Linked DNA regions of Ovis aries. The protein of the gene in region 1 purifies or fractionates together with the protein of each later gene. This does not show direct contact. Links are inferred from orthologs where the notes say so. Each region holds a gene or a part of one and is shown in the gene's direction. Other genes may lie near its edges.

Region 1 (11,483 bases):
TGCTTTTTTCCTTTATGGTTTATCACAGGATATTGAACATAGTTGCCTGTGCTATATACAGTAGGACCTTGTTGTTTATATATTCTGTATGTAATAGTTTACAGCTGCTAAGCCCAAACTCCCAGTCCATCCTTCCCCACTGCCCCTCCCTGCTGACAACCAGTAACTCTGTCCTCTGCTTCTGTGAGTCTGTTTCTGTTTCGTAGACAGGCTCTTTGTCTCACATTAGATTCCGCATATAAGTGATTCCTGCGGTGTCTGTCTTTCTCCTTCTGACTTACTGCACTTAGTGTGATCATCTCTGAATGCATCCATGTTGCTGCTCTCAGTTTTCTTAATTGTAATATGAGGAGGATAGTAACAATTACAACCTCACAAGATTGCTGTGAGGATTAAGTGAGATATAACGAGTACTTAGTTAGCTGTGAAGACTTAAGAGATGTTCGCTGGTAGAATTCCGGACCACATATTTATTAGCCAACTTGGACCAAAACTTTATAAAGTCTTAAAAATAATCACAAGGGTTTTGGAGCAGCCTATTCCAATTTTGTTGTTTGTGCTTTTCCTTTTTTGTTTTGTTGGGGATAGACGGGTATTGTTTTAGGCTTTTTCTTTTTTCCCCCAATAAGTACCTGCCAAAAAAAATTTTATTACATTTTGGATTTAAGTGGCTACCTAAAGGTTCGCTACGTGCTTTCATTCTGATAGTAGAGCATAGTTGGCTCCCTCTATCTGCATGTACAGCTTCAACCAACTGCAGATAGAAGTTTTTTTTTTTGAATTCTGGAAAATTCCAAAAAGGAACAAAACTTGAAATTTTCCAGGCACTGGGTCACTATTTATGTAACATTTACATTGTATTAGGTATTATACATAATCTGGAGATAATTTAAAGTATATGGAAGGGTGTGCATAGGTTATATGCAAGTGCTGCATGACATCATTTTATATGAGGGACTTCAGCAACCTCAGATTTTGGTATCTGCGTGGGGATCCTGGAACAGTACTTGTGATGGGACCACTGTACAAGATAGTTAATTATTTCTCTCTTTCCTTAATCCTGATGCTGTCATCTATTAAAATAGCACTCATCCCTTTCTCCGCTCTGAATAACTAAGTTATTTTAACATTCCTTAATTTTGTTTTGTTTTGTTTGATACTCTGATGATTACATCCCAGCTATTATTTACTATACTGTCAGACTTTTTGTTATTAAGTATACCTTTCAGCTACTCATGCTTTAAAACATCAGTGCTGATACAGTTTTAACTCATTATGAATTGTGGCTAATTTAAGAAATGTCATTTTCATAATTTTAAGTATGTGTGTGTGAGTGTATATAACTTAAACTCTTCTACTAACCATCACCTAGCAGAGACTCTTCAGGAATTTGTGTATTTGAGCTGATGAGTTTTTACAGAGAGTGTATTATTTGATTGTCCACAAATGTCTTTTTAAAAACTAGGGTCCTCAAATGACAGTTATTCTCTTTGATTTTGAGTCTGCGATTTTTTTTTTTACTTTTATCTAATAAAATATTAAAATATTATATTATGAAAATAAACCTAATTCTATTTGAATTAACAATTCTGATTTGTATTCATATAGAGTCACTTTCCTCCAACCACGTTTATATACCTGTCTGTGTGAATAAGCTTAAAAGCCACACAGAGTACATTTTATATATTTATAAAATAACTATAGAAAGGCAGGAAAAAGCTAGCCTATAAATTAGTTCTTTCCAAATTCTACTTAAAATGACCTGTGGAACTGAATGAAGATAGGTAGCATTGCTCAATAAGAGAAAACGTTCTGTTTAAGAGTCTGCATTTCTGTGCATGAGTGTACATACATGTACACGTGTTAGCTGCTTAGGTAACTAGTTATCTATAAAGGCGGACTAAAGAAAGGAAGGGTGGTATACTGTTAGGCAGAATGCTGCATTTTGAAAAGATACAGAAAATTTTGTGAGGAGAAAGTCACTCTTTTTCATGTTTTCTCATAGTAAAATGATAGATACTATTTGGTTCTGTTATAGTACCATGTCATATATAGTAAGCAGTCAGATATTTACCATATCTTCCTCTTTTAATGTGGATTAAATATGTGGTTTTGATTATATAGAAATCATAGTCTAGTTATCCTGAATAATGATAGTACATACTTGTAGCCCTGTTATATCCTATGGCATATAGTATTAGTTTGCTTTACTTTTCTTAGTATTTCAATGTTATCTAACACTTCTTTCACAGTCAGCTTTAATCCAAGGCTATGTGGTAGATTATTCCTAAATGGGAGTAGCTCAGAAAGATAATGTAGTGATTATATAGTTTTCCGTGTTGTACTGAAATCACATGTGCATCATTGTGACTCAGCCTATTTTGCAAAAATGTTTAACAATTTCTTTTTCTATGTTCACTTCATTAAGGTTTACATATATTCTGTCCAGATTACTTATTAGTCAGAATATATCTAATTTATGTATTGGGAAACACAATTATGTGTTACTTTCCTAAAACTTATTTTACTTATTAGCTTTCAAAGTAGTACTAACTATGTATTTTTGTTTATGTTTTTCTATTTTGCTTGGCTTTTTGAACATGTCTGGATTCATCATTTTAGAAGGTAATTATTATTTCTTTTGCTTGAAAATTGTATTTCTCTGTTTTAAATAATTCTAATAAAAATAACATGTTTCTCTTTTTTAGGAAAAACCTTTCAACTCTACTCTCATAATCTTATTGCTTTGTTTGAACAAGCCAAAAAACCAGGACTAGCTGCCCATATTCAGACTCATAGGTTTCCAGATCGCATACTACCAAGGTACTAAATATTTTGATTCTGCTGGGAGTGAGGGGAATTAGTGTCTATTTTTAAAGCAACCAGTCTTCTTGCACACTGAAAAACTTCCCTTGTCTTAATTTTGAAAGGTAGTTTACATTAAAGTAAATGTCATATAGAGTTCAAAAGATAAGTGTTTTGTAACTTGACTGTCCATGACCATCATCCATAGAAGTTTTATGATATAAATTCCCAGGCCCCACCTCAGACCTATACTATCATATAGATTGGAGTCATAGTTTAAGATGTTTTTTTTTAAAGCTCCTTGACTAATTCTGATGGAACTGATTCACAGATCACTCACTGTTTGAGAACCACTGTAGTAGAGTACATTTATATTGTCCTGTGTTTACAGAAAGTTCGCTTTAACCACAAAGATTCCTGATACAAAGGGCTGCCACAAATGTTGCATAGGTGAGTAAATACTATTTCTCAAACTGAATGGTTAGAACTTTTAACATCTTTAAAATTATCTGTAAAGTTCTTAAAGTATTAAATAAAGGAAGGGAAGCTTTATATTTGTTTTAAATAAGGAGTTAAGGGACCACTGAAGCTCAGGAATGTATAGTGGGACATGGCACAAAAGCACGTGAAGATAGCCCTGACCTGATGCTTTCTCATAGCGCAATGTTCCTCAGATTTTTTTAACCATAGTCCCTAAGGCTCTCTCTCTGCTAATATCCTAGCTTTCAGTTAGCACTTACCATTAACAGTTATTGAGTAGTGCTTTATGAACATTATTATTTCAGGACTCTGCCCAACTCTGAAGTTAGGGGGAGCAGCCGTACAAGACCACTCTCACTTCTGTTACCAATTACAAGTTTACCAATTGTAACCTTCATGGTCAGAATTTCACTGGTATGACTCAGAATTTGCTGAAAGTGGTTATACGCTTGGCTTTGGTTTGTTACAGGGAAAGGATATAGATTAAAATTAGCTAAAGGAAGATGTGCATAGGGCAGAGTCCAGGAAAGATACAAGATGTAGAGCTTCTGTTGTCCTCCATAGAATATGGATAGTGTTACTTTTCGGGCAGTGACCTGTGATAATACACAGCATTGCTAGCTAGCTAGGTAAGCTTACTCAGCAACCTCAGTGTTCAGAGGTTTTACTAGGGCTCTATCACATAGGCGTGCTCGACTGCCCACGTGGCTGACCTCAGTATCCAGCCCCTCTGGAGGTCAAGTGATGCTGCATGACCCAAAGCCCCTACCCTAAATTGCATGATTGGTCTTTATGGCCTGATTATTCCCCATCCTAAGACTATCCAATGTTGCCAGACCATGGAGTTGCAAAGAATCGGTCATGACTTAGCAACTGAGCAACAACAATGTATCAACACTGCCTTTATAAAGAAAACTGAGTTAGCTTTTGGGTGAGTATAATTCAGTAATTGGTTTTAGCTAAACTTTATGTTTTCATATAAAAATATTCAGTGTTCTGGGTGTGTCTGTTTTGTTTCTTTCCAGTCAGAAACCCTTACACGGGACATAAATACCTCTGCGGAGCTTTACAGTCTGGAATTGTTTTACTTCAGTGGTATGAGCCAATGCAGAAATTCATGTTGATAAAGGTATATATTAATTTGTTTACATTTGCTTCTTTAGAAAACATGAATGTATAATTGAACCTAAAATTGTAGAATCCCATTGCTAACAGCCGGGATCATGTTTATAGGTATTTATTTGGTTTAAGGGCTTTTGTGTTCTTAAGACTTTAAAGATTTCATCTTTATTTTATGTTAATAGATTTCCAGAAATAACACAGTCATAAAGAAAAATGTGGCCAATTCTCTAAAATAGATGTTTATGGAAAACTGATCCTTATCATGATCATTTAGATGTCATTTTTTTAATTGAAGTATTATATGATATTGTGTTTCAGGTATAGAGCAAAGTGTTCAGTTGTATATTTCTTTTTTCAGATTTTTTTCGTGATAGATTATTAAAGCTATTAAATATAGTTTCCTATGTTATACAATAAATCCTTATTGCTTATGTATTTTATGTATAGTAGTTTGTATATGTAGATTCTGTACTTCTTATTTATCCATTCCCCACCCCCTTTGTTTTTTATGTCTGTTTCTATTTTGTATAGAGATTCATTTGTATTATTTTTTAGATTCCACATATAAGTGATATCATGTATTATTTGTCTGACTTACTTCACTAAGCATGATATTGTCTAGGTCCATCCATGTTGCTGCAGTGGCAATGTTTCATTCTTTTTATGGCTGAATAATAGTCCGTTGAATAGCACGTCTTATGCCAGTCATCTGTTGATGTGCACTTGGATTGTTCCCATGTCTTGGCTGTTATAAATAGTGCTGCTGTGAATGCTGGGGTGCATCTATCTTTTCAAATTAGTTTCATCTTTTCCAGGGTATTCCCGGGAGTAGGATTGCAGGATCATACGGAAGCTCTTTTCTGTTTTTTAAGGAACCTCCATACTATTCTCCATAGTGACTGCACCAAATTACATTCCTACCAGTAGTGTAGGAGTGTTCTCTTTCCTCCAAACCTTCCCCAGCATTTATTATTGCTAGACATTTTAATAGAGGCCATTACGATTGGTGTGAGGTGGTACCTCGTTGTAGTTTTGATATGTATTTCTCTAATAACTAGCAATGTTGGACATCTTTTCATTTGCCTAGTAGCCATCTGTATGTCTTCTTTGGGAAAATGACTATTTAGGTCTTCTGCCCATTTTTTGATTGGGTTTTTTCTTTTCTTGATATTCAAGTTATATGAACAGGATATGTACTTTGGAAATTAAGCCCTTGTTGGTCACATTATTTACAAATATTTTCTCCCATTCTGTACATTTTCTTTTTTGTTTTATTTTATGGTTCCTTTCCTATGCAAAAGCTTTTAAGTTCACTTAGGTCCTATTTGTTATTTTTGGCTTTATTTATTTATTTGACTTAGGAGACTGATCTAAGAAAATATTGCTACAATTTTGTGAGTCTTTAAGCTATTTTGAGTTTATTTTTGTATATGGTAAGAGGGAGGGTTCTAACCTCATTGATTTACATGAGCCTGTCCCACATTCATAATGCTGCTTTGTCATAGATTAGTTGACCATAGGTCTGTAGATTTATTTCTAGGCTCTTTATTCTGTTCCATTGATCTGTATGTCTGTTTTTGTGCCAGTAAGAGGGAGTCATTTCTTAGATCAATCAAGAAAATGAAAGCCTTTCTGTTGAATTTATTCAGCAACAGAATGAATGAGGAGATTGTTTCTAAATTATGCTCCTTTTTTCTTGCAGCACTTTGATTTTCCTTTGCCAAGTCCTTTGAATGTTTTTGAAATGCTGGTGATACCAGAACAGGAATATCCTATGGTCTGTGTAGCTATTAGCAAAGGCACGGAATTAAATCAGGTAGTTCAGTTTGAGACAATCAATTTGAACTCTGCATCCTCATGGTTTACAGAAATTGGTGCTGGTAAGTGTTTTTTACTTTATGTTAAAGTATTAATGCTTTTGCCTATCAAAGAAGCAGAACAGGTTCAACCTGCATGGGCTTTCTAGTAGAGTTTCCCAAGTAAGCACAGAGGATCATGTACATATAGTTTATGATCTCTGTTTGCCAGAGGCAATTTGATACATACAAAGTATTTTACCAAGAAATATTTTAATGATTCCCAGCATTTAAAAGTCTTAGTTGTTGTCAGTTAATATTTGGACTTACTAAGTAAGTTTTCTAAGATAGTTTTCAGATTTTATCTTCTCAAGCAAAGAAATTCACTTTTTTTAAAATCAGTTTTTCCCCCTACACTTCCTAAAATCATTGAGTTCTAGTACTTTTCAGACTTAATAGAAGCTTCTCATGTGTGGCCTCCAAGCATTACCATTTAAAGTTACAGGGAATATTATATCTCTTGCATTTTCTGAGAATGGTTTGTTAGCCTAGAATTTTATCAAACATGTCTCAGTGAAAGCTCTGAAAAGATTGGGAAGTTTATTTTCAAACTTTAAAATTGGAACAAATCAGTCAAGAATTTATGTTAAAAATCACTGTTTTTATTGTACTTGTGTATTGTCACCCCAGGTTTATCAAGCCATTTTTACATACGAAGTCAAGCAAGCTTTAGTTATAACTATTTCATTACTGACCCCCTTTTCTTTATCACCTTGAGAAGAAGTCTGTTATAAGTTATCATAAGTTCTTATTAAATAGCTTTGGCTTTTGATCATCTTTAGGCTAAATTACAAGAACTCTTTATACATCCCAGCTATTGAAGTTAATGTAGAACTGCACTAATGTCACTTTCAGAATAAGAATCAGTATGACCTACTGATTGGTGTCCTAGTAAATGTTTAACAACAGACTCTTGGGCTGCAGAGAAGCCTCGTTTATAGCAGTTGCCTGTTTCTGTGGTATAAATGCTCTCAGCACAGCCAATTTCAAAATACCAACTTAATGTCATCTGACTTGCAAAATTTGTAAAAATTTATCAGTCCAGTACAAGCCAGTTCCAGCATGCCTTGGACTATTATCACTGTTTTTGTGCACCAGATCCTAATTTCCAGTAGAATAAAATAGGAGTATATTCTTTACCCTCCCCCTATCCTCCACTCTTCTCCCCCTACCCTGCCCCCTGCACTCATTTTTCTTTCTAATTTGTTAATGCTTTTGGTTGAGTTAGATGCATACCCTCATGGTATAGCTAACAGGAAGGTCCAAATGGCATTGTTTTATTATCATGAAATATAAGCAAGCCAAATAGAAATGTGTTCGTATTAGATAGTTACTGCTAAAAAGAAGGGTTATAGGTCCGTTCATTTTAAAACCAAGATCATGTTTGGCAGACAGCCTCAACTTGTTTGTTGTTCATATATAATAATAGTGTAGAGAAAGTTATTTCGTAAGATTATCTAATGTAAGTTTGCAAACCACTTTCTTCTGTATATTGTATTAGGTGGTTACATTGTTTAAGGCTGGGCATTCAATGAGTCCTTTTGTGAATTTGCAGGGGTGAGGTTCAGGGGTTGTTGTTTGCTTTTTAATGCCAGAGGTATACTGTTCTATCCACTTACAACACAATCTAGGCTAAAATTATGGCAGACCCAAAACTACTTCCCGAGGAGAGCCAGAACTCTGAGGGTATACATTCAAATCACCCTAAAGCTGAGATTGTCCTTATTAGGTTTCTCCATTTTCACAAATGATTGCTAATCTATCTCCCAGCTATGTTGATTGCTGAGACCATACCTTGACTTGACAGCAGTTTTAACAATTAAAATGAACTCCTATTCCAAGACTCTCTTAGTCGTATTTTGATTAGTTGTTGCAGTATCCTTTTATCCAAGGTTGCTTAGTAATTATCATCAGCACGCAATAACTGTATGTTAATAGAAAAGCTATTTTTTTTTTTTTGGAATATTGCCTGAGAAACAACACTTTACCAATTCTTTACATCTGGATTCTTCACTATATATGGATTTTGGAAGATCCACAAATACCCCCAAAATAATGTGTAAGATTTTGTGTTTATTCTCAGATGTGTAGTTTTTAAGGGAGAGTATCTATGGGTTTTCCCAAAAGATGTAGTTAAGAATGACTGCTCTAAATAATCTAAAATCTTTGCATGGTTTCATCTAGACCATTCATGCAATCTGAGTGGCTAAAATAGTTTTACCAAAAATGTTTTGCAAAAATGTCATCACTTATCTTAGCAGATGTTTATCAGCCAAGTAGTGAAAGTTGCTTCCTGCAAAGATACTGTTGACAGTATTGTTCATTATGTCAACTGGTGTCCTGTTAATAAAGGAACTCCAACCTACACTCACACCCCAATAACCAGAAAAATTGCTCTCTGATCATAGTTTCATTAATACTTTTGCTTTTTCTGAATTACTGACTTTTTTTTTTTAATCTCAGAGACACTGTGACCCACCTGACCTTGTTTTCATCTTTTCATTGGCTACTATAAAATGCAGAGCAAAATCTAATCACTGTATAACATGCATTTTACTTCCTTCCCCATATTTACCATTTGCTTCATTTTATTTTTGTAATATACCTTTCTGGAACCAGCCGAGGTATTAATTAAATATAATATTGAGCCTTTCTCAGTTAGCCTTGCTTAAGACTTTGTTTTTTAAATTGACTTACATATGTTTTTTTTGAGAAGACAATTACGAAATATAATTTTTGTGTTAAACTTCAAAGGCTAGTTTAAAATCACAGAAAAAAATCAGAATTTGTGTTTCTTTTCTAAGTTTTAATTTTTAAAGCACATTATATAACTGTAACCGTATTTTCCTTTTCCCCTCAAGGCAACCAACAGTTAGATTCCATTCACGTAACACAGTTGGAGAGAGATACTGTTTTAGTGTGTTTGGACAGTAAGTACTATTTTAAAGTTTAGTCCAAGTATTCTACTTGATATAACATACCTTTTCATGAGCTAGATTCTAATAGAATCAGTAGATTTTGACTTTCCACCTTAAGTAGCCATGTTTTATTGATGAAAAATGTAAATTATTTACATATATAGTAATTAATTGATCTGTTTGTCAGTACTGTCCTCTGTGACCCTTTTCTTTATTTTGTTTGGCCTACTTGGAAACATTGTACAGTCGACCCTCTGTATCCATGGGTTCTACATCCTTTATTCAATCAACCATGGATTGAAAATATTCAGAAAAAAATTCCAGAAAGCTCAAAAAAACAAACCTGAATTTGCTGAGGGCCTGACAACTATTTATACAGCTTTTATATTGTGTTAATGTATTATAAGTGATCTAGGAACATAGATGACTTAGCACAGGGAACTATAACTCAATAGTATGTATAACCTGTAAGGGAAAAGAATCTGAAAAGATTATATATATACCCCCACACACACATGTGGGCTTCCCCCATAGCTCAGTAGTAAAGAATCTGCCTGCAATGAAGGAGAGGAAGGAAATGCCAGTTCAATCCCTGGGTCAGGAAAATCCCCTGGAGGAGGGTATGGCAACCCACTCCGGTATTCTTGCCTTGAAACTCCCATGGACAGAGGCGCCTGGTGGGCTGCAGTCCATAGGGTCACAAAGAGCTGGACATGACTGAAGTGAGCATATACACGTACATATAACTGAATTGGTGTGCTGTACAACTGAAACGCACACAATATTGTAAGTCAGCTATATTTCAATAAAACTATTCTAAAATGTTAAACTCTATGGAGGGATACATATAGGTTATATGCAAACACTAGGCCATTTTATATAAGGGACTTGAGCATCCTTGGATCTCCTTGAGGGATACAGGAACCAATCCCCCATGGAACCAAGGGACAATGATATTAGAACAGTTTGCCATAACCTTGGGGTAAAATTCTGTATAAACTATTCTGAGAGTTTTTTCATAAATCATTGTAATTAATGAAAAAATTGATTATACTCATATGATCACTTATATAACACGAACTTTTAGAATCCTGTCTGTAATATTCTAATTTACAAATAGATTTGAGATCTTTACCTGTAGTTGTAATTCTTTTAATGTAGGGAGAGATGTTATTTATAGATGTATGTTGTGCTATATATGCAGTGAAGAAGCAGAAAAACTTTAACAGGTTTTTTCAATTTTTCAAACAAAGCACTCTAATTCCTAAAATCTGCTTTACTTGAATGCAGTGAATCCTGCAAGTGAAATTCTCCCAGACTTGGAATTATATTTGAAAGTTGGCAGTATTCTCTGTGATTTGACTCATTCCAGTATTTGAAAATAATTAAAGCTTCTCTTTGATGCTTAGGGTTATTTTTTAAATTGTTCCACTGCTGAATTTGCCGTATTTTTGTCTTAATTTCTCTTTTCTAAAGCATTCCCTTTTGGATTTGCCTTATAGACTCATAAAGATCATCTAATATTATAGATAAGTAAACCAAATTCCACAATGTTTCCTTTGCCCATTATCCCTTAAGTATTTTTGCTTCTTTGAGTACTGATAAGATTGGAGTGTTTTTTGGTTACTTTTAAGTGAATTCAGTGAATTCTTTTTTACTCAAAACAAGTAGAAAGCTCATTACTGATTAATCAGATAAAAAGATGATCAGAATTTAATTGTAATAATGTTTAACCTTTAACATTAAACCCCTAAATACCTTCTGAGCTATCTAAGGATAATAAATCGTACTTAGTTTTCATTTTGTTCATTTACGTATTTTGTCAAAAAAATTTAAACCTTTGATTAACTAAGCCTTCCATTTCCCAGCTATTCTTGGTAAATGGGAAGTTGACTTTCTTCAGTTGGTTTTTCTTCTCTTAAGGGAGCAGAAAAAATTATTTGTCAACTATAGATTATAAAGCAGTTTTACCAAGCAGCAATAGAGATAGGCCTATAATCACAAATCATGATAGACAAATGACGAAGTATTGCAGAGAGAAAATATCTTTCAAGTCAGAGCTAAAATGGTTAAATTAAAAAACAAATGGACGAAAGAGAAATAGAATTATTCACATATACTGTGTATCCCACAGTTTACTGATAAGTTGACTTGAGAGTACCATCTTTTTGTCCCTTGTACTTCTGTAGAATGTTGATCAGAGACTAAAGTTAAGAATACTGCTATATTACTTATATGTTATATAATTTGTAAGGGGAAACAAATCAACTCATATTGCTGAATATTTAGGCACCAAGTTAAC
Region 2 (12,198 bases), on another chromosome or scaffold:
TGTAACTACAGTTCCAGCAGAATCTTTCAGACCTTGATGCCAAGCGCAATGGAAACTTCCATATTTCAAAATCTATTTAATTGGGCAATTCAGGAGTTCCCACCCGAACTTCAATTGAAGATGATTAATCTGCAACGTATTCATAACAAAAGGCAAACGTCCAGAGAAGAATCTCGGAGAATTCTTGCACATACCATCCCACAATCTGGCTTCCCTGGGGCCTCCACACGGTAAAGAGCCTGCCTGCAGCGCAGGAGACCCAGGTTCAATCCCTGGGTCAGGAAGATCCCCCGGAGAAGGGAATGGTTTCTCACTCCAGTGTCCTTGCCTGGAGAATCCCGTGGCCGGAGGAGCCTGATGGGCTGCAGTCCACGGGGTTGCACGGAGCTGGACAGGACTGAGCAACTAACTCTTGCGCTTTCATCCCACAGTGAACATGCTCCATTAAAACTGTGCAGGGTGGGCCGCACCGTCTGGGTGCGAGACATCGTCAGGGGTGACACAGAGCCTAATTACGCCCAGCTCAGCACTGGCAGGTCAACATTTCAGCATCAGGGGACACTGATGCTGAAGCCCAATGAAGTGAAATATTATCCCAGATGAATCCCATTATTCTCACTCGCATGCTCGGGTGATGAAACAGTTAACACTCAACCACTATGATGTTCTGAACTTCCTTTTAAAAGATTGCAGAAAATTTTTCTCATCAGGTGAGAGAATGTTCCAGATTGATAAAAACGGGTGCAGATCCCCTGAGGTGTTAAGATGCTCCCATTTTCCAGGAGTTTCTCCTGGAGCCAGGGAGGAAGATCAAGAGGCTGGAGCAAGATTACATAACACTCCTCGATTTTCTTCTTTGTCCTGCAAAGCCTTAAATATTTCCTGTCTGGATCTTTAGAGGAAAATCTGGGGACGCCCGGTCTAAAGGGCTGCACAGCACTGGCCGAGAAGGGATGGGAGAGGGAATCAGCGTGCCTCTAGGGGATTTCGCTGAAGGCACTCCAGGATGCTCTGAAATCAGGAGAAACAAGACAAGCTGCCTTTCAGCTCAAGTGACACAAAAGTGGACTTTTAAAAAAACTAATTTATTTACCTACGTGGCTGTCTCGAGTCTAAGTGGGCAGCACACGGGGTCTGCAGTCTGGTGTGCGAACCCTTAGTTGCGGTCCACGGAATCTTAGTTCCCTGACCAGGGATCACTCCTGGGCCCCCTGCACTGGGAACAAAGAGTCTCAGCCACTGGACCGCCAGGGAAGTCCGAGAAAATGGATATTTTATACAAGAGGCGGCAGAGCCATTAGAACTAGGTTAGAGAATGCCAGGCGGAGCCATGACCAGACTTTAAGACACTGGAATTAAGTCGGCCAGTGTTTTCTAGAGGGGTCGGTAGAACTTCCTAACACAGCAGCCAAGCCTCGTGCAGAGATGTCCCCCTGGGAAAGAAGAGATGAGCAGGTTGATATTTTAAATAGTGCGTCATGGGAAATTATAATCGGGATTGGACATTATTTTATTAGTATCGAAGTAGCAAACTAATGGTGGGGGAGAAGATAACCAATAAGCTCCTCTTTTGTGTTAGGGAGAAAAATTTGGAAATAGACATGAAGCATGGGGGAGCAGTGACGGAGAACTGCAGGGTGAGAGGGCGAGGCGGGTCTCCAAGGATGTGTCTAACCCAGGCAGTGGTCAACCAGGGCTCGTGGAGACCACGCCTGAGAACCCCCGACCCAATCAGGTCAGCGCGGTGAGCGCGCTTGCTGCGTCTCCCCGTAACACAGGCAGGCCTCTTCTACCTTACTGTCTTTGCCAGCAAAGAATCTAGGGCAGGAAGAAGGGACAGACACTGTCCTCCCGGGTCCTCAGTAAGGCAGCAACCTGGGAAGACCGTCCGGCCTTAACCATCGCTTGCAGGGTTGGACCAGACAGGGGAGAATCAGAAGTCAGTGGGGCGGGGTGGGGGCTCCCCTGGTGACTCACTGGGTAAAGAATCTGCCTATCAGTGAAGGAGACGTGGGTTCGGTCCCTGATCTGGTAAGATCCCACAAGCCACGGAGCAGCTGGGCAGCAGCGGCACAACCACCGCGCCCTGCGCTCTGGAGCCCTTCCCTGCAGCAGGAGGCACCGCAACGAGAAGCCCGCTCGCCGCAAGTGCAGAAAAACCGTGCAGCCATGAAGACCCCGCACAGAAAAGGGAAACAAACACATAATTAAAAAGATTCCTCGGTGAGGGGACTTCACTGCCGGCCCAGTGGCTGAGACCCTGTCTTCCAAGGCAGGGGCTGCGGGTCTGATTCTCGGTTGGGGAACTAAGACCCTGCATGCCACGTGGCGAGGCCACAAAAGAGAGCTGGCGTTGAATCCTCAGTACAGAGGCAGCCTCAGGGACAGGAACCCTGGCAAGTTGCTGGAAAAGCCTTGTCAATTGAGTCTAAACTAACTATCTTAGAAGAGAGTAAGTACAATGCTACCTGGAAACCTCGGGAAGAGCAAGCTAGAGCAGAATCACAAATCTTTTTTACGTTATGGCCCCTTTTTAAAGCTTCTTGTCGTTTGTCCCCTTCATTTCCATTTCATTACCTCTTAGTGGCTAGGCTGTTTTTTTGGGGGAAAAAGTTTTTAAGCTTGTTTCAGCTGTGCTAAGGAAAAATAAGAAATTACTTAATTATTTTTATTGTGAAAAAATCCAAACATACACAAAAGTAGAATAATGTAATTAATAGCTCCCCCCGCCACACACACACACACACACACACACACACATTAGCAAAGCAAGCAAAATGGACTAACTTATAGGCAATAATTGTGTAACACTGAAATGAGTCCTGGACTTCAAAAGACCTCCCTGAGTGCCTCTTGCAAAGCATACAACCTATGATAACTTCTCTGAGATATAATTGTGTATCTTTGAGATGCTCACTAAACATTTTTTTTGTATTTAATTTTGTATCTATATGTAAACTTATGGTGATGATAATCAGTTTATGATGTAAGCAAGTCAAGCCATTAAGCTGTACACCTTAAACTTGTACAGTGCTGTATGTCAACTATCTCTCTATAAAACTGAAAGAAAAATTAATATTAGAAGATGAAAAAAATATGACAAGGAATGATACAGTCAACTGGTAAGTCAGGTTAGGATTGGAACTCAAGCCTTCCTCTTCAAATTCTGAGCTATTCAAATTGTGCCCGAAAGTAACACGACGCGAAAGTATTTGGAGGGAAGCTGAAAACCTGCTTTGCTGAGTCACAAAAGGCCCTAGGCCGTGACGATTCCCCTTGAGTTTACCCGGAAGGAACGTCAGCCATCACGCTGCGACAGTGGTCCCCAGCATCCTGGGCGCCAGGGACCCTTCCGTGGAAGACAGTTTTTCCTCGGGGCGGGGGATGGTTCAAGCGCATTCCTTTCACGCTGCACTTTCTTTCTGTTATTCTTACATCGGCTCCACCTCCCGTCATCAGGCACTGGGTCGCAGAAGCTGGGGACGCCTGCCCTACCTACAGTGCAGGACAGGCTCAGCCCAGCAACGAGATCGGCTCCCCAGGAGTCTAGAGCCGGGCTCCGATGCCCCTCTGGACAGGCGCCTCCACCGGCCGGCGGGGGCGGGGGCGGGGGGTCCCCGACAGTCATTCATTCCGCCCAGGTCTGAGATCAGCGTAGGGCGGGGCGAAGAAGCGCCAGGCCCAGGGCTGAACAAGGCGCACCAAACCCCGCTCCCGTGAAACGGACGGTCCGGCGCGGACGGGGGTGCGGCCAGGGGCCGGGGCTTCTGCGGCGGGGGTCCTGGGGGGGCCAAGGCGGCAAGGGCTCCGAGAGGACGCGGGAGCTTCGCCAGCCACCGCCTGAGCACCCGCGGCGGTCGGCCCCGCCACCCCCTAACCTGGCCGGCCCGGCTGCGCACGGCCCGGGGCCGCGCCCGGGGGCCGGGCCTGGCCCGCGCCGCCCGCTTTGTTCCCGGAGCGGGCTCCAGAAGCGCCGCCTCCCCGCAGCGCCCCCCGGCGGGCCCGGGAGGGAGCGCGGCGCCGCGCGCGGGCGGCGCACGCCCGCCCTCGCGATTGGCCGCGCGGCGTGACGTCACGGGGCGGCGCCGGCGGCCGCCGGGAGCGGGCGCGCGCGCGTGCGCAGTCGCGGGGCGCGGGGGGGGGCGGGGGAGGTGGCCGCCGCTGCGCCCGCGGCCGCCATTTTGTTGCTGTGGCTCTCGGGAGCGGGGCAGGGCTCGGCGGCCCCGGCGGCGCGGCGCTCCCGGGCGGTGTGCGGCTCGGCGCGGCCGCGGGGCTCGGTGCGGAGCGGCGGGGACGCGGGGCCGGCCGCGCGCCGGGGCCAGGGCTGAGCGGAGGCGCCGCGAGCCGCCCTCGCCGCGCTCGGCCGGGCCCGCGCCCGGAGCCGGCTGGGCCCGCGCGGCGGCCCCGGAGCAGGCCGGCGGCCCGGAGGATGTTGCGGGCCCGCGGCCGCGAGGAAGGCGCGGGCGCGGGCCTGTAGGCGCGCGGTGAGCCCGAGGCCCGGCCGGCGCGCAGCCGCCGCGGGCGGGGCGCCCCCAGCGCCGGCGAGAGCGGCCCGCCCGGCCCCCCGCGCGCCGCCCGCCATGTCCTCCGCCAGGTTCGACTCCTCGGACCGCTCGGCCTGGTACATGGGGCCCGTGTCCCGCCAGGAGGCGCAGACGCGGCTCCAGGGCCAGCGCCACGGCGTGTTCCTCGTCCGCGACTCGTCCACCTGCCCGGGGGACTACGTGCTGTCCGTGTCCGAGAACTCGCGGGTGTCCCACTACATCATCAACTCGCTGCCCAACCGCCGCTTCAAGATCGGGGACCAGGAGTTCGAGCACCTGCCGGCGCTGCTGGAGTTCTACAAGATCCACTACCTGGACACCACCACGCTCATCGAGCCGGCGCCCAGGTGCGCGGGGCCGCGGGGCTCGGCGCGGCGGCGCCGGCCGGGGGCGCCGTGGGTGAGGGCGGTGCGTCGGGCCCGGCAGCTCGCGCTGCGGGCGCCCAGTTGGAAAAGGGGCGCTTTCTGCCCTTCGTCGCGTCCTCGGTGCAAATTACCTGCTGAAGCAGGGCGTTGCTCCCGGTCTTGCAGCCGGTTTGGGGCCACGGGTTGAGACTCTGAAGCTAGTCTTCGGCTCCCCGCCCCGCGGGCCCCTCCCTGCCCCCCGCCCTCCCGAGTTTGCACCGCTTTCAGGGTCTCTGAGCTCCGGGGTTGGACCTCCCGGACGGCAGCCTTTGGAAACTCTAGAGATGGAAATGCCTTCGCAGGTAGAAACGAAATGCCTTTACCTGTGAAATATCAGGGCCATATATTGATAGCCTGGTGCCAGGGTTGAAATAAGCCAGGCGTCTGTTTTATAACACATTAACTGAAAATACTGTAGAAGAGGTCGGCTTGAACGAGGAATTTTTTTTTTTTAATAGATTTCCCCCAAGCTGGGCCTTTAATGGACTGGAAATCCATTTGGTTAAATTCCAAGGTGGAATGAGTCTAGACTGTTACTAAGAGGAAATTTTGAATGACACTCCACTGAAGATTCTACGCTAGTTGAATTTCAGATGTCCTTTTTGTACTGAGTTGCATGACTTAGTATCTATTTTAAAATAACCCAGAGTGACACTGAGCATTGGGCATCCCTTTTCATTTGGGCTTCATTATTGGCCTTAATATTTTGCTCGAGGCTTCTTTTGTGCAGATTATGCAAAACTTGAGCTAAAGAGATGGCGTAGGGTTTTAAAAATAAAAGGTATTGATCTTTTCAAGCGTCTGCTTAGAAAGGACAGGGTGCTAATACAGGTTTTTTTCAGGGTGAGATGGTTCTGACTTGATAGATCTGCTGACAAGATAGTAGTCTCAGCTCTGAACATGAGAAGCTGTCGTATTAAAGGGGGACGCACTGGATGCTTCTGTGGACTAGAGGTAGAGAAGAATGAAGCCCTCGCGGTGTAATGACCAGGAGGTTAACTGCTGAGCTAAATGGACTTTAAAAGCTGGGAGACAGGGATTATAAATCAGATACTGCGTAACAAAGGCCTAGCCGCGGCGAGTCTGACTGGCGAGGCCTCCAGGTCCCCGAAGAGCCTGGGAGCTAGAGGCAGCGCTCAGCACAGTGTGATTCCAGCGTGAGAGGCTGGGGGCTCTCGGCTCCCGCAGTGGTGAGGCTTCAGCTGCGTTCGCGTAACTGGCTCTTCTGGCTTGTGAAGGTGACTGAGCGCTCTCTCGGGCACTGACTGGGCCTCGCCGCGCGCCTCAGTGCAGCCGTGAGGGAGGGACTCGAGCCCCTCTGGGTGGAGAGAAAGGGGCGCGGCCCTGGCTTCCCAGTGCCCGCAGCCGCCACCCCCAGCTTTCCCTTCGTGCTGCTTCCCAGATGCCCGTCCTCACCCTCTCCCGCCGCCTCCAGGGAGCCCGCGCTACACGCCCACTCGCGCCGGAGGACCTTTGCTCGGGCCCCACCCGCCCCTCACCGGGCGCGCCTCCCTGCCCTTGGGGCCTTTCCCTGGCGCTGCCCCCGCCTCCAGTTGAGCTTTGCTGTTTCTCCGCCCGCTGCCCCGGGCGTCCCGCTGCCGTCGAGTTTTCCTTCCCCTGGTGTCTCCGAGGGCTGCCGCTGCCCCAGTTGAATGAGATCCTGGCAGGATTCACTTGGTCACACTGAACCTGGATCGCCTCTCCCGGAGCCAGAAACCCGCGGATCTGTGTGATGCGCTTATTACTCAGCTAGTGTAGAAGACAAGGCCGGGCCAGCTTTGGCCAAAGGCAAAAATCAGGGCCGTGTGCTTCCACGCCCCAGGCAGGATGGATGAAGTGGTTAGGCTCTTTCAGGCCTCAGAACCGAGCTCCTGAAGCCAGAGCTTCTGCGCTTTGGCTAATAGTTATTTTTTGGGGTTCATTTTGCTCAGTAAAAAGTGACGACTTACTGGCTTCCTCAGAATTTAAGGACTGATCTCTTTTTTTTGTTGGGGGAGTAGCTTTTTTTTTTTGGCCGTGCAGCGTGTGGGAGCCAAAGTCCCTGGCCAGGGACCAAAACTGAGCCCTTGGCAGTGGCAGCTGGGGTCTCAACCTCTGCACCACAGGGACGCCCCCTTAACTTCACAGTGTACGTCCTTGTCCAGACATTACAGGAGAGTTAATCCCAGGGATGCGTACTGGGAGAGAGGGGTGACGTGCTTTCTCCATCATGGGCCTTAGATGTCAGTGAGGAGACAGGCTGGAAAGTAGAGATTTAAGTAAAAGACAGCATTGGTCGGTGTGAAGAAAGTCCACGTGGGCAGGGGGTCTAGCAGGCGGGGCTGACCTGAGGCAGGAGGGTCAGAGCAGGGCTGAAGCCAAGAGGGCGCCCAGGGTGGGGAGCCAGCCGCGCCAGGGCCGTGGCTCTGCAGAGGCAGCTTGAATCGGCTGCTCAGAGGAAGGAAGTGGGGTGCCAGGGGGGAGTTTGCAGTCAGGAAGTGACCTGGGCCATTATTGCAATCCAGGTCACGGTGATGACGATTGGTGAGCTGTCCGTCCGTCCGTGCGTCCATCTGTAGTAGAGACGTTCCGCAGGCTGACTGGCAGGGCTGACGGACGGCTGTGGTTTGAAGACGGTTGCTGATGGGAGGGGAACGGAGAGGAGGAAGGAAGAGGCAGATGACTTGGTGTGTTTGCAGCTGCCTGTCCTCTGGGTTGTCTTGTTAATTTTGCCTTTTGAGTTGCACTATTCAGTCCTGTCTTGGATCTTACATTTAAGGTGTGTCAGTGGCTTCTGGTTTTCCAATGACAGATTTTAAAGGATTCTTTTTCCGCACACGGGTGCAGCTTGTAGGCTGAAGCTTGTTGCATAAACAGACACTTCACCTCCATCTTACTTGAGTGTGAACACTTCCAAGATTCTGTTAAGTTCTGTTCAGTGTTAGGTAAGTGCTCCTGGGTTTTTCTTTCCGTTTTAATAGAGGCTGTTTCCAGTTTAACAGCAGGGTCCAGTTTCTGAGTGGGTTCAGTTTAGAGACAGTACATTTTCCCGGGTCTAGAAAATTGGAAGTGTGCTTTGCGTAGGTCGCTTCTCTTATGAAGTTTCCGGTTCCAGCTCGTGTAGCTGTGTGATGACTGGGAGGAGGGTCGTGAGGAGCAAAGATGGGAAAAACAGAGGCGAGTTGGCTCATAGAGGCACCTCCCCACCCCCACCCCCCTGTTTTGTTGCTCGATAGATATTGCTGAGAGCACGCTCTGGTGGTACAGATCTGATGTTGCTCAGCACTCCCTGTCAGGCTCTTCTGGAGCTTCCTGGATGCTGACTTTAAAGACCGCGTCCTCTGATACAGGCAGCAGCTGTGCGAGGGCCAGAAAGGATGCCCAACCTCACCTGAGCGCCTGCCCAGAGGGGACGCTCACGGCCGCCAGGCAGAGGCCACGCCTTCTCCCACGGCCGCAACCTGGGTGTTTAAGGGGGCATTTGGGCTCGTAATTAGGAGTAGCAGGTAGGAGAGGAGCGGTAGCTGATTTCAGTTGACATAGAATTCGGCACTATGGGTAACCTTTGAGTCTCTTCTTACCGGTAGCTTAAATCCCCTGAGTTCAGTTTAGATGGGAACAGAACTGTTGTGACGCTGGATGGAACCTCAGCCAGGCGGGAGTTCTGTCCCCGTGGCGCCTGAGTGCTGACAGCCGTCTGACCTGTGACCCTTCTCTCGTTTGAGACTTGGATTCAGAGGACGTTTTATAGAAGAATGATTCTCTTGATCTGAACTGTTGGACTGGATTATTTTTGAGGTTCACTCGGGCAACAACGTTTTCCTTCTGATAAGTAAAAGGAGGCAGTGCTCTGTTAGTGGGAGTCCAGATAGGGCCTCCCCAGCGAGGTGGGGCCGCTAGTCGGGGATGCTGGCGGCGCAGAGACGAAGGGGCCCGGCAGCAAGCCCGGTGGCACACGGGGTTTCCTTGTCTGTGGAACAGACTTACCGGGGCCTGGGGGAGAGGCTTCCCTGTGTCTGTGGCGGTTTAGTTTCAGCAGGAATCTCAGTGTGTTGAGGCCTCCTCCGTCCCAGAGCGCGAGACTGGACTCCAGCCTCGTCATGGAAGTAGACCGTGACCTTGCCGCCGAGCTCAGCTCCCTGAGGGTGCCGCGGATGGCCGGCCGGGGGTCAGGCAGGGCCTGGAGGAAAAGGTGCTCTGTGGGGAGTGGCTCTTGAAGGGTGAGGGCTGCTGTGGGAGGTGGAAGGGCAGCTGTGGTTGCTGCGAACGAGGCGCCGCCGCAGGCTTGAAGGGAGCACGCTCAGCTGTGACAGGCCTCCTGCGTTTGGTACCTGCGTCCAGCGGTGGGAGCGTTCCAGAGTCTTTAAGAAGAGGGTTGTCGCGGTCAGCCTGCTCCGAGGTGGGCCGGGGTGGGGCGAGTCTGGAGTGCGGCGTGGATTAAGGGCTGTCACGGGAGAAGGGAGCGTGAGAAGCTGGACTGAGGTCTCCTGCGTGGGGAGTCCGGGAGGAAGCCGCTGGGGCGCCCTGCTCTGGGCAGTTTCCTGGAGGTGAGGCGAGAGGTGTGGCCTCAGGCTGATGGGACGGCGCCTCAGGTGAGAGATGCGAGGCAGGGCTGGGGCAGGGACACGGGTCTGCAGCAGGGGGCCGGCCAGGGCTCCAGCTAAATAGACAGATTTGGGTCTGAGCCCAGGTGGAAGCGGCAGAGCCCGCAGAAGAGCTGGGGGCGCAGAGTGAGGGCCCGGGGGGCGGGGGCGGGATGTGGGGGTCCAGCCCGGAGCGCTCTGACTGCACGGCCGTGTCGCCAGTCTCCCTGGGATGGGTGCTTGTACGTTGCTCTGTTTTCCACCTTTTTGCTGTGGAATCTTTCATACGGCCGCAGGGGGTCTCGGTCTCCGTGTCCGTCACCCCGGGGCCTTTGAAAATCTGTCCTGCCAGTTGATGGCTTCGCTTTGTTTTTTGAATTTGAAGCCGCTCAGTCGTGTCCGACTCTTTGCGACCCCGTGGACTGTAGCCTACCAGGTTTCTTTGTCCATGGGATTCTCCAGGCAAGAATACTGAAGTGGGTTGCTATTTCCTTCTCCAGGGGACCTTCCCCATCCAGGGATCGAACCCGGGTCTCCCACATTGGAGGCAGATGCTTTAACCTCTGAGCCACCAGGGATGTTGTTAGAGCTGAAGATGCCTGAGTGGGTTTTTTTGCCGTGCAGCTTTTGCCTGGAGGCGGCGGCCGCCCCGCAGTCGCTCGAGGCACGTGCTCCGGCCTTCGCAGGGAGCTGCGGTCTGCGCCTGGGCCCCTGTGTGTGCTGGGCACCGCGTACGGTCCTGGTCACGGGACAGATTACGAAAGGACGGGGTGCAGGGGCTGGTTCCGCTGCAGTTTCCTGGTTCTCGGGGTCTGTGGCGTTCCCGGCGTCTGAGCCCGCTGTGAGCGGCGACACCTCCTCGGGGAAGGGCCTGCTGGTCAGATTTGTGGGCCCTGAAGCTGTCCCGGCCCGCCCGCTCGGACCAGCCGTGGGCCTGCAGGCTGTGGTTTGTGGAGCCCTCTGCCACACTGATGGATTTTGTGTAGTGTATTGGCGCTAAGAGCCTTCGTGCACTTGCTTAAGGGTTCTGTGAAAAGCTCTGGCAAGACCACAGGTAGCTGGTGGACTCACGGGGCACTGGCCCCTTGCAGCAGTGCGGGGAGGGCCTGGCCGGCTGGCCCAGGACCAGCCAGCCAGCAGCTGTGGGGAGCCCGCAGGGGCGCCTCTGGACCCTCGGTCTGCAGCCTCTTCCCGGTGGAGAACCAGCACCTTTGTAAGCCCGTCTTCCACAAGGTCTTCTCGCGCTCAGTCGGGTCTGACTCTGCGCAACCCCGTGGACTGCAGCCCGCCAGGCGTCTCTGCTCATGGCCTTCTGCAGGCAGGAGTGCTGGAGTGGGCTGGCGTCTCCTTCTCCGGGGGCCTTCCCGACGCAGGGACCCGGCGCACGTCTGGTGCGTCTCCTGCGGTGCGGACGGGCTCTTCACCGCCGGCCGCCGGGGGCGAGTGTTTGTGCGGCACCGCTTGCCTGTCCCCTGACCCTTAGCGAAGCTTGACCCCGTCCGCCCCGGCCGCGGCATGGATGGCGTGTGCGCTCCTTTCCCCTCCAGTCTGCCAGGGTGGCGTTTGCAGTCTTGGGAGCAGGAGCCTGTCTGTCCCCTGAGCTCTGAGTAGAGCCAGCGGGTCCCTGGGTAGATGGATGTCTTAGTGCCAGCCTCGCTGAAGCTGCTCTGGCGTCCTCAGGCCCTGTGCTGTGGGACTCCCTGCTTCTCCCTTTGAACTGTGTAGACAGTGAAAACCTCAGCGCGTCTGCCCCGGAGCCGAGCGCTCTTGGTAAAGTCGCTGAGGTTTGGTGAAAACTTTCACAGAACCTCTGGCCCTTGAGATAGGAGCAGGGGTGTGCGCTGGGGGCTCGGGGCCGGTCAGGGGCTGCCGTGGGCTTGGCACAGCGCTCATTCGGGCGCTGCGGCCGGCAGGAGTGAGGGCTCTGGGGCCCCGTGCCAGGCGCACCCACCCGAGGGCCCCGTGAGGAGGCCTCAGCCCGCACCGCAGCGAGGGTGTCAGCGCCTCCTCGCCGAGGCTGCTCCTGCCGCGCTCTCGGAGGCGTTGGCGCTAAGCAGTTCCCCCTCAGTTGTCAGGTTCTCAAGGAATGAGGCCTTGGAGGTGTTTCATCAGGCTGCTCGCCGCCACCGCCAGGCGTCCTGACTGCTGTGCGCCCACCGTTCACATGAGAAAGACCTGCGTTCTGCCAGATGACTGCGCTCTGGAGGGTGGTGTGGCCGAGTGTCCGAGGCCCCTGAGAACGTTGGTGTATTTAATGCGGGGACGCAATCCAGGGAGATGACGCGTGGGAGTGTGTGGTGGTGTCATAGACGGTGACAGGACCGTCGGGACGCGGGGGCTCGCTCGCAGCAGGCACCCGAGGGCAGGCGCGGTGGAGGGGCCGCGCTGCAGGAAGGCCGCCCCAGCAGACGCGGGCGGGGACGGTGGCCGGTGGGCGGGGCGACTGGCCTCCTTAGGGCAGCGGCCGGGGACTTGTTCTCTTTCGTTTTCCTTTTTTTTTTTTTTTTTTTTTGCTGTTGTAACATGTTGACCCTTTTTTTTTTTTTAAAGGAAACGTTTCTGTAAACTAGAATGGTTCAGTGCAGGAGGCCATGTTGTGATGTTGTCCTGCGAAACAGCTTTTCAGGTCATTGACTTAGGGAGAAAGGGAAAGGCCGCCCCCTGCGGGGAACACACAGCCAGTCGGTG

Evidence for each region.
Region 2: the proteins of MAP4K5 (region 1) and CRKL purify together in Homo sapiens (affinity purification with western blotting; 3 studies listed by BioGRID and IntAct, with this or other methods). This does not show direct contact. The link is inferred for Ovis aries from reciprocal best matches to the Homo sapiens genes MAP4K5 and CRKL.

The regions. Positions count from the first base shown.
Region 1 is NC_056060.1:41,561,601-41,573,083, reverse strand, and holds part of MAP4K5 (mitogen-activated protein kinase kinase kinase kinase 5), read left to right. Parts: intron 1-2,622; coding exon 2,623-2,625; intron 2,626-2,708; coding exon 2,709-2,823; intron 2,824-3,196; coding exon 3,197-3,255; intron 3,256-4,310; coding exon 4,311-4,414; intron 4,415-6,109; coding exon 6,110-6,287; intron 6,288-9,124; coding exon 9,125-9,193; intron 9,194-11,483. UniProt on the Homo sapiens protein: May play a role in the response to environmental stress. Appears to act upstream of the JUN N-terminal pathway.
Region 2 is NC_056070.1:72,319,470-72,331,667, forward strand, and holds the start of CRKL (crk-like protein), read left to right. Parts: upstream 1-4,178; 5' UTR 4,179-4,580; coding exon 4,581-4,891; intron 4,892-12,198. UniProt on the Homo sapiens protein: May mediate the transduction of intracellular signals.